Cricetulus griseus: one gene and its partner. Each later gene encodes a partner of the first gene's protein in a complex. Links are inferred from orthologs where the notes say so. Each region holds a gene or a part of one and is shown on either strand. Other genes may lie near its edges.

Region 1 (4,479 bases):
AAACAGATGGCAGTCAGGCTGTACCTGGCTAAGGAACTTTTAAGTCCTACTGCCTGGAGTGACAGGGACTTGGAAGGGGAAGATGGAATGGAGCCCAGGAGTGGGTCACACCTCACCTCCATGTCATTCTTTTCTAGTGCTTCTAATTCATTTTCTGACAAGTGGGCTCGCCGATGAATCTCAAGGTTTTGCTGTAGAGGGGGACAGAAGAAGAGTAAAGCAATTGGGCTGAAATGGGCTAGACACAGGCTATCCTGCCAACTCTCTGCTCAATTACCTTGTGGAGCCCAGAGAGCTGCTGGTGCCGGATGAGTGCCTCCTTGCTGGGAAACTGGCGGCGGCAGAGCAGGCAGGCTAGCTTCTGCCAGTCTGTGAGCTTTTCTTCCCGCTCAGGACCCCCTCGCTCCTGCTCCTCCTCACTGTCACTCTCCCCGCTGTAGGCTGCCACCAGCCCTCGAGGTGGGCTCTGTAGACAGTGAGGGTGGGAAATCAGCAGCCTTGCTGAGATCAGAGACCCCTGCCCTTTTTGCTCTGACAACTCACTGGACGATCATCATTGGCCAACTTTGGGAGATCCATGCTGGTGTGCTGTCTTTCAGCTAGCGCTCCCTGAGGTAAAGGACACAGAAATTCAGGGCTCCCCAGAGGACCCTAAGGAGTAATGAGATTGTAGGTGGGGCACAGATGGACAGTTACAACACACCTTCTTCTCAAGGATAGCATAGCCTGCATCTGCAGTGGCCGATTCCCGCCTCTCATCATCTCGTAGGGCACTAATAGGCTGGAAGCTGTTTTTGAAGTTTTCTTTTTGCTTGTTGAGACTGCGGGCCCACCGCTCCATGTCCTTCGCAATCTGGGGGGGGGGGGGATTAAAGTTCCCAGAATTCCTCGAACTTGGGGCTTTATTCTCTCACCCATGACCCTTGCAATAGTAGCCCTTCCCGCCCTGTAGCCTCAAGTCTGGTACCTTTCTTAACTCAACCACTGTAAAAGGCTGTGTATACCTGGCTCTGGGGTCTCATCCTTGTAGAACATTCCTTTAAAAACCATAAACCATGCCCAAATACTTCCACCTTCTCCAAACCATCTTATTAAAATAAACTCAAGCTCATGCCAAGGATCCCTTCCTTCTACTGACTGTTTCCAAACATTCCCCTGCCTCCCACCTACTCCATGTAGTTTCCAAAGGCAAAGGCAAAAGCAGCAGCAGAAATAGTGTGGGCAGATAACAACTGAGCAAGCAGGGTCAGAAGGGCAGTGGGGCAAAGGTGTTGGTACAAGATCCTATTTTCTGTATTGGCCTGGGATCCTTTTCAAGCCCCTCTCTGGTTACAACCCCAACTATTTCTTTCTTGACACAGGTTTATTTCTCTGTGTAGCCTTGGCCATCCTGAAACTCACTCTGTAGACCAGGCTGGCCTTGGAGATCCACCTGCCTCTGCCTCCCGAGTGCTGGGATTAAGGCCACCACTGCCTGGCTGCAACCCCAACTTCTGATTTGGCACTTGTATCATTATTTGTTCTTTCATTTTTACTTTCTAAATACAGAGAACTACATACTTGTGTATGGGAATGGGGAAGTAACTGGGTCTTGTAACATACTAGACAAGCACTCTTCCACCGAGCCACACCCCTAGGGTTGTATATAATTTCAATTTATGTGTGATGTTCTGGTTGGTTTTTGTCAACTTGATACAAACCTAGACATATCTGGGAAGAGGAACTCTCAATTAAGAAATCTCTTCCAACAGACTGGCCTATTGGTAAGTCTCTGGGGTATTTTCTTAATTACTGACCAATGTGGTAGGACCCAGCTCACTGTGGGCAGTGCCACCTCCTAGGCAGGTGGTCCTGAGTTGTGTAAGAAAGCAGACTGAACAAGCTACGGACAGCAAGCCAGTAAGAAGCACTCCTCAATGGTCTCTACATCAGTTTCTGCCACCAGGTTCCTTCCTCGACTTCTGTTCATGATGAAAAACCCTTTCATGCCCATGTTGGTTTTAGTCAGTGTTTATCATAGCAATAGGAACCTAAGACATGTGACATGGTGTCAAGTTTAATGCTTTGTGTTTCTTCCAGTCTATGAATTCCTCAGGTTGCTGAGGGAATACTTACTGCTTGCTTCTAAGTGCTGTGCTTCAATGTTATACCCTTTCTCTACAGAGGCAATGAGATTCTCTCTAACTGCTCTCTATAGAAAACCCTGCAATGTTTCTTAATCAACTTCATATAAGCCTACGAGAATTTATATTGGATCAACAGACATCCACCAGCAGCATGAAGGTTACCTTCGAGGGGCAGAGAAAAGCTGCCAGAGCTCACTCAGATGGTGTAAGTCACTTTATGGTGGTAGGTAGTCCTGCTACAGTACCCCACCTCCCAAAATAGATCTGGCTCAAGAGTCCTTACTTTCTGAAGCAGTTACAACCTCTGTCCATTCCCACCCACTACTCTACTTTCCTTTAAGCTGAAGAGGGCAGGAGGTGACAGAACACAGACTCCAAACAGGAGATGATGGCTGGAGGTTCACCTGTTGGGCCGTCTTTGTCTTATGCTTCTCTTTCTTCTCTTTTCCCTCCTTGGATGATGGCCCCGTCTCCTTATGTCCATCAGCAGACTGCTCCAAGGCAGGTATGTAGGTCCGCCGCTCTCCATCCCAGTAAAGATACTGTTGGCTCTGAGCATTGTAGTAATACTGAGGAAGAGAATGGGAAGAGGTGACATGAGGGAGGACCTCTAGGGCTAGCTGCCACACAACCACAGTCCAGTTTTCCCTAGCCTACCCCGTCACCTACCTGGGAGTTGGGGTCATAGTATAGACCAGTCTGGGGGTCATAGTAGTAGCCAGATGTCTCATCATATTGGTAAGTAGAGACATCAGGAACGGCTGTGGGGAGGAAAGACAAGGTTGTCAAATTCCTCCTTGCTTGGAGAAGTCCACACCCTTACCTACAGGCTATGTATGGCTACTCACGGTACTGGCTGTAGGACTCTGGGGCAGTGGGACTGGTGGCTGGTGGTAAGGCAGAGCTGGGATGAGTAGGACTCTGAAGCTCAGACTTGAGCACAGCAGGTGACATGATGGTATATGACTGCTCATGGGTCACAAAAGGGAACACAACTCAGTGTCTGTTAATACCCTCCTGCCCACTCAAGATGCACCCTGCCAGCCCACCAGCCTCCCCAGAGTGTCAATCAATGTTATCCTCACTTGGCTGTTGGAAGTTGTACCCTGACTACTGCTTCCCTCTGCTGATTGCTGATAAAGCCCAGGGGCAGCACCAGGCTGGGCTCGGGAGAAAGCCTGCAGTGACACAGAGTCTGCCCCAGTCTCAAGGGAGGCCTCAGGACCTGAAAGGAAAACCAAGGAGAATACCCATGAATGTTAGCGCATAAGACAGTAGGCTTCTAGGCCCCACAATTAAGCTCAGCAAGAGAGGATGAGGCTCACCTGCAGCAGCTGGGTCTCCTTTGGTCCCAGTCATGCCAGGGCCCTTGCTGTTTTTAAGGTAGCCATGGGCATAGAGGGAATCTGTGCCCTGGCTGCTGCCATAGCCTTCATCCTGTTGATAGTAGCTGTAGTCAACTGGAGTCTCCTCAGGGGCAGCCCAGGCACTCTCTCCACCCTGGGAGGCCTGAGGGGCAGGTGAGAGATGACAGGGCATAAGGGAAGACATCTGCTAGAAGTATCTGTCCTACACATGGAGCTAGCATTTCCACTTGATAGAAAAGCATGCAGCCTTAAGGTAGTAAAGAGCAAGGGGTCCTGACAACAACAGTGGAGGAAGAAGAGACTAGAAAACGGATACATGTTCAAATGGCCCCCCCACCCTGGGCTGATCCTGATAAGGTATGTGTTAGGCCTCAGACCAAGCAAGACACCCTCAATCTCTTCATTTTTCCTCTTCCCTCCCTCCCACAACTATGTAGCCCATGATGGCCTGGAACGTGTAGCGATCCTCTTGCCTTTGCCCCCAGTCCCACTCAGTGCTAGGATTATAGGTACACACCACACCTTCCCATCTTCCTAGTCTTTATTCTCTACCAAAATTTTCACCTCCTTTTCCTTTTTTTGTTTTGAGATAGGGCCTCAAACTCACTATATAGTCAAAGACTGGCCTTCAACATCAAATCCTCTTGCCTCCACCTCATAAGAGCTGTGATTACTGGTGTTTATCACCACACTTGGCTCCCAAAATTTTTTAGATACTTGTAAGTTCCTTTTTATTCATGGCATATATACTTACATAAGCAATGCATATCTCTCTCTCTCTCTCTCTCTCTCTCTCTCTCTCTCTCTCTCTCTCTCTCTCTCTCTCTCTCTCTCTCACACACACACACACACACACACACACACACACACACTACACTACACTACACTACACAACTCACCAATTTATCTACCCAACAACATACAACACCAATCCAGAGTGCTGTCAAGAAACAGTACAGGAGACAGGGATGGAAAGAAGGCTCAGC
Region 2 (5,679 bases), on another chromosome or scaffold:
GAGGTAAAACAGAATTGAGTTTTGAAAACAGGTTTAGTGCTGAGCAAAATGCCTGAAGCCTAAGAGTTCTTTTGTGCATGGCAGCCATTATTGCTGATTACAGGTAATTCAGTAGGTTTTAGTGTGAGGTTTCTTCTCTTCCACTTAAAATGCCACTAGTGCTGCAGATGTATCTGTGAACTGTTTATGCTTGTCTCAGGGTGATTGTGAAAATCAGAATATGGCTGTATGGTGTTACCATTTATATCATGTATTTCACTTAGTAAAATAAGATAGCTTTTAAAGTCATGAAATACATAGAGTTATACATTCCATTCTTTCTTTTAAATAGCCTTGGACTCTGGATAGCACCATCAGTGATGAGAACAGAGCTGTCATTGAGAAAATGCTGTTGGAAGAAGAGTATCCTTCATCGATTGTGAGAAGAGTAAAGGTTTCAGGGTTAAAAATAGACCAATGCAGCCAGGTGTTGGTGGTGCACGCCTTTAATCCCAGCACTTGGGAGGCAGAGGCAGGTAGATCACTGTGAGTTCGAGACTAGCCTAGTCTACAGAGTGAGTGCCAGGATAGGCTCCAAAGCTACACAGAGAAACCTTGTCTTGAAAAACCAAAAAAAAAAAAGAAAAAAAGAAAAGAAAAAAGATCAATGCAAACATTATGGAAGAGGCCACTGTAATTACTAGATGACGTTTGGTTACAGGTATTGATTGTATAATTTTATGTCAACTATCTATGCACAAAGTAGCATCTTTTACTGTTGTTACGTCAAATGAGAGGATATCAGTAATTTCAGAAAATTCAATAAATCAAAAATTTCTAATTTTCTGGCTTTTAATGATTACTAACAAATAGTGGCTTATTTTTAACTTTTCCATATGCATTTTATGGATCTCTGTTCACTGTTATTATTTATGTATGTGTTTTTGTTTGCATGTATGTCTGTGAACCTCTTATGTTCCTGGTGCCTGTGAAGACCGTAAGGTGGTTAGATCTTCGGGACCTAGAGTTACAGACCATTGAGAGCTGCCATGTGGTTACTGGAATCAAACTCGGGTCTTCTGGAATAGCCATTAGTGCTCTTTAATCACTGAACCAGCTCTCTCTGCCCATTATTTAATTCAGAATTTCTGCTATTTTATTCCCAACTGATTCTGTTAATTTAAGAATATTTTCTGTGTCTTGAGTTGACATTGGTTAACCCCTTACTCTGTAACTCCAAATATTGCCTAGATTGTTTTTTTTTAATGAAAGGCACATGTAATCTCCAATTTCCTTGTAGCCTCATTTAAAATAAAATAAATGAGTTTTTATGGTTTTTTTACACATTATTTAAAATATCAGCTTATATGAAATTTTTTTTTCTTTGTGTGTGTGTACCCACACACATGCTGGACATGTTTGTATGTGCATGTATGTCCAGAGCCCAGAGGTTGACTTCAGGTGTTTTCTTTATTCGCTCTCCAAGTTATTTTTTGAGCGAGGATTCTTATGAACCCTGAAGCTCACGGACTTGACTGGCGAGCTAATCCAAAGCTCTTGGGATCCACCTGTGTCTGCCTCCCAATGCTGGGATTATGTGTTCACAAAACTATGTGGATCCTAGTGTAGTGATAACATTATTTATGATTTATTAAAGCTTGACTGGGGATTCAGACAAGCAAAGTCAGCCACAAGCTATAGAAGCCAGGCATACACCTTTAATCCCAGCAGCCAGAAGCTAGGAGGTAGTGGTACACACCTTTGATCCTTAGACTCAGGATGAACAGATACACAGATCTATACAAGAGTGAATCAATCTAAAAGAGAATTATAGCTCACACCTTTAACCCCAATATTGGGGAAGTATATAAGACAGAAGGTATGTCTCAGAGATTCATTCATTCTCCAGCCACACTGAGGAGAGGCATCAGTTTGAGACCTGGTGAAGAGCTAGTCCGTGGATCAGCCCTTTCAGCCTGAGCCGGAGGTGAGAGCAGCAGCCGGCTGCTTTGCTTCTCTGGTCTTCAGGTTGAAGTTTGAACCCCAGTATCAGTCTCTGGGTCATTTTATTGATTTGTTTTTACGTCCTGGGATCCTCATTTAGATTCTTAGGATTATTGAACCATGTTCCCAGCCTCAAATGAAAACATCATTAATGTCTCATACTAAGTCTTTGGAATCTACAGTACATTTTATTTTAGCACTGCATCTCAGTTAATTCTAGTTGTGTTCTAAATGCTTGATCCACACATGTGATTAGTGGCCACCATACTGAACTGTGCAATTCTAGGTTATTGAAAACTCAGGTAGCCATTTATTCATTTCCAGATGTAGAAACAGGTAGCATTTAGACTCTAAATATATTTTAGAGGGTAAGCAGAACCTTTATTATGTTTATATATTGTCTGTAGTACATAGCCTAACATATGACATGTAGTTTATTTGTTAAATAAAAGACTAGTTCACACTTAAGGAATAGTTTCGTAGCTGGCTAGTTGCAGCAATGCCGAGAGGGTGTTTCTTGACAAATTTGATGTTATTTGTAATAGCGTGTAGAAGAATCCTGAACTCTTAAAAAATACGGAAACACTGGTTCCCAAATTACTATTTTAGAAAAGAAAAAGATTGAAGTTCTTTCTCTTAGCCATTTGTGGTAGAGAAGAGAAGGTAAACCAGCATTGCTGCGCTTCAGGAATTGTGTTGTGTGTTTCAGTGTGTGATCATTCCTACAGGCAACATGTAAAGACAGCATGGACTTACAGCCCTGGGCAAGCTTCAAGGGTAATAGGCTTTGATTACATTTGAATGTCTTTGACCAGTCTGCCTACTTGATACTACATAAGAATTATATGACTTTAATATTGTTTACGTTTCCTTAAAAATTACCTAGGTATTATTTGTCTAATAAATCACTTCCAGGAAAATTCTGGGTCAATCAAAAGGAAGATGATAAAAAATACACCAACAGGTAAAATCATTAAAAGTTGCATTAAAAGTTTTGAATTGCAGATTTAGTAACTTCTTCACAAGCTTCTTGTTTTCTTTTTTTTTCATGTGCAGCCTGCAGAAAACAGCAAAAATCATGTATGTACCTATTTTATATTTTTAAACCCTTTTTTTTTTTTAAAAAATAAAAATCCTTTTTACTTTTCATTGTGTGTGTTCACTTGTGTCTCTGTGTGGGTATGAGTGTGTGAGTGTGGGTGCCCAGGGAGACCAGAGGTGTCCGGTCCATTGGAGCTGGAGTTACAGGCAGTTGTTGCAGCCTGATAGAAGTGCTAGCAGTTGAGTACTGTGACTACTAAGCCATCTCTCCAGCCCCTTAAAACTTTTTTAGGTCAATTGAGAATTAGAAGAACATTCTTAACAGTTAGATTTAGTCAGTGAACAGCTCTCTTGATTCAAAAGACAAGAGATTTTTTTAAAGATGGTTTTGGCGCAGATATTAGAGTACATTTATGCCATCATGTATTTGCCAGAATTTTTTAAAAATGTCTTTCTTTTGGCAGTTTATCACATCATAAAGATATATTATGAATTGACTTGATTTTTGTTCCGTCTGATAATTTAAAATTTGTTACGTACAATTTCATTTGGATCTGTGACTTCTAAAAATTACCTAGGAAAATTGGACTGGGGATAGTGGTACATGCCTGTAATTCCAGTAGTTGGAAGGCCAAATCAGAATTTCCACAAGTTGAAGACCAACTTGCTCTACATAGTAAGTTCTAGGCCAATTAGGACTACATAGCAACACCCTGTCTCAAAAAATTCTAGAAAAATTAAATGTTTTACAAATAACCTCTTTTTAATTGGAAAACATGGTCATTATTCAGCATTTATAAACTTGTTTGAGCATTAAGCAGACTTTGGCTTTTATATTTTGCTACATAAGCAAAGTGAAGTTAGTGAGAAGATTGAATGCTTGATGAAATTGGAGAGTTTTCTTACTATGCTCTAATTTCTTGTGATACAGAATTTAAAAGCAATAAATGCGATGCCATAGTTTTATGATTTAAATTCTTAGGCTTTGAGAACATATTAATGGCTGCTTTTTGTTTTCAGTCTGTGGAGACCTATTTGTTACCAGAGAAATGTCTTTTAATGTTGTCTTTACTCAGACCCAAAGATTATATTTGTGTGCGTGCGTGCGTGTGTGTGTGTGTGTGTGTGTGTGTGTGTGCGCGTGCGTGCGTGCGTGCGTGCGTGTGTGTGTGTGTGTGTGTGTGTGTGTGTGTGTGTGTGTGTACATATATATACCTATGTATATGCATATACTATTGTTATATACATTTTTTACACTCATTCTGGTAAAGATAAGAAACGGGTAAACCTTACTGCCCAGGTACCAGTTGCAGTAGCTGTCCCCTTCCCCTCCTTTTTTAGTAGACTAGAAGTCATGGTTTTATTCAAGTGACTGTCTATAACAGTGGTTCTCAGCCTGTGCATCACAGCCCATTGCAGGTTCCAACAACTCTTTCACAGGGGTCACCTAAGACCATCAGAAAACACATACTTTTATGAATCACAACACTAGCAGAACTAGAGTTATGAAATAGCAATGAAGATGATTTTAGGATGGGGTATCACCACAACTTGAGGAACTCTATAAAGCATCACAGCATTAGGAAGGTTGAGAACCACTGGTGTCTAACCTCTGGCTGCTTAAATGGAACGTTCCATTTCATTTTTTTTTTTTTTTTGTAATTCCTCTTTTTTTCTTTCAGGGTACATTCTCCTACAAAACCAGCCAGTTATTCAGTAAAGTGGACGATAGAAGAAAAAGAACTGTTTGAACAAGGACTGGTAAGTAGGGAAAACTTTAACTAATGATAAAATTATTATAGAAGCAAAGTTTTTAAAAAGTTTGTATATTTGCAATAGGAGATAAACTTAATTCTTTCTTTTTCATTCAACTATTTAGCATTGTGCATGATCCACATTTTTCAGTATATATATATTTGAAGACCAGAGACATTTTTTGCGTAAATGTTTCACTGAAATCTCTTGAAAAATATAGACGTCATGAAGTATAAAAAATATGTGTGTGGGGAGGAGTGATGAGCAAAGGGGTCAAGACCATGCTGGGGAAAACCACAGAAACAGCTGACCTGAGCAAGGGGGAGCTCATAGACCCTAGTCTGACAGCTGGGGAACCAGCATAGGACCAAACCAGGCCCCCTGAATGTGGGTGTCAGTTGGGGGACCTGAGCAGTCTATGGGGCCTCTGGCATTGGAACCGATATTTATCCCTAGTGCACGAGTGGGCTTTGGGAGCTCATTCCCTTTGGAGGGATACTCTCTCAGCCTAGATACATAGGGAAGGGCCTAGGTCCTGCCCCAAATGATGTGACAGACTTTGATGATTCCCCATAGGAGGCCTCACTCCCTGAGGCGTGGATAGGGAGTGGGATGGAGGGTTGGTGGGAGGAATGGAGGACGGGAGGGAGAGGGAACTGGGATTGGTATGTAAAATAAGATTGTTTCTAATATAAATAAAAATTAGTAAAGTGTATATGTGAATCAGATACTGAAAATACTTCACAACATGGAGAAATGTTTCATAAAATAACCATTAATTTAAACTTTTGAGAGTAGGTTGGTTATTTTCCTTTAGGTTATATGTAACTCAGACTTATATCAAATTTGATTTTGAGATTTTATAGGCATTATATAGGTAATATATAATTATGGGATGTT

What was found.
Region 2: Rbm10 (region 1) and Mysm1 share a complex: the UniProt entries of both Homo sapiens proteins name them as parts of the large chromatin remodeling complex. The link is inferred for Cricetulus griseus from reciprocal best matches to the Homo sapiens genes RBM10 and MYSM1.

What each region holds. Positions count from the first base shown.
Region 1 is NC_048604.1:125,449,268-125,453,746, reverse strand, and holds part of Rbm10 (RNA-binding protein 10), read right to left. Parts: intron 3,636-4,479; coding exon 3,452-3,635; intron 3,352-3,451; coding exon 3,212-3,351; intron 3,093-3,211; coding exon 2,975-3,092; intron 2,888-2,974; coding exon 2,796-2,887; intron 2,696-2,795; coding exon 2,531-2,695; intron 854-2,530; coding exon 704-853; intron 652-703; coding exon of another isoform or gene 610-651; coding exon 544-609; intron 467-543; coding exon 278-466; intron 192-277; coding exon 117-191; intron 1-116. UniProt on the Homo sapiens protein: Binds to ssRNA containing the consensus sequence 5'-AGGUAA-3'. May be involved in post-transcriptional processing, most probably in mRNA splicing. Binds to RNA homopolymers, with a preference for poly(G) and poly(U) and little for poly(A).
Region 2 is NC_048595.1:53,897,743-53,903,421, forward strand, and holds part of Mysm1 (histone H2A deubiquitinase MYSM1), read left to right. Parts: intron 1-331; coding exon 332-402; exon of another isoform or gene 403-2,760; intron 2,761-2,869; coding exon 2,870-2,947; intron 2,948-3,039; coding exon 3,040-3,063; intron 3,064-4,706; coding exon 4,707-4,785; intron 4,786-5,679. UniProt on the Homo sapiens protein: Metalloprotease with deubiquitinase activity that plays important regulator roles in hematopoietic stem cell function, blood cell production and immune response.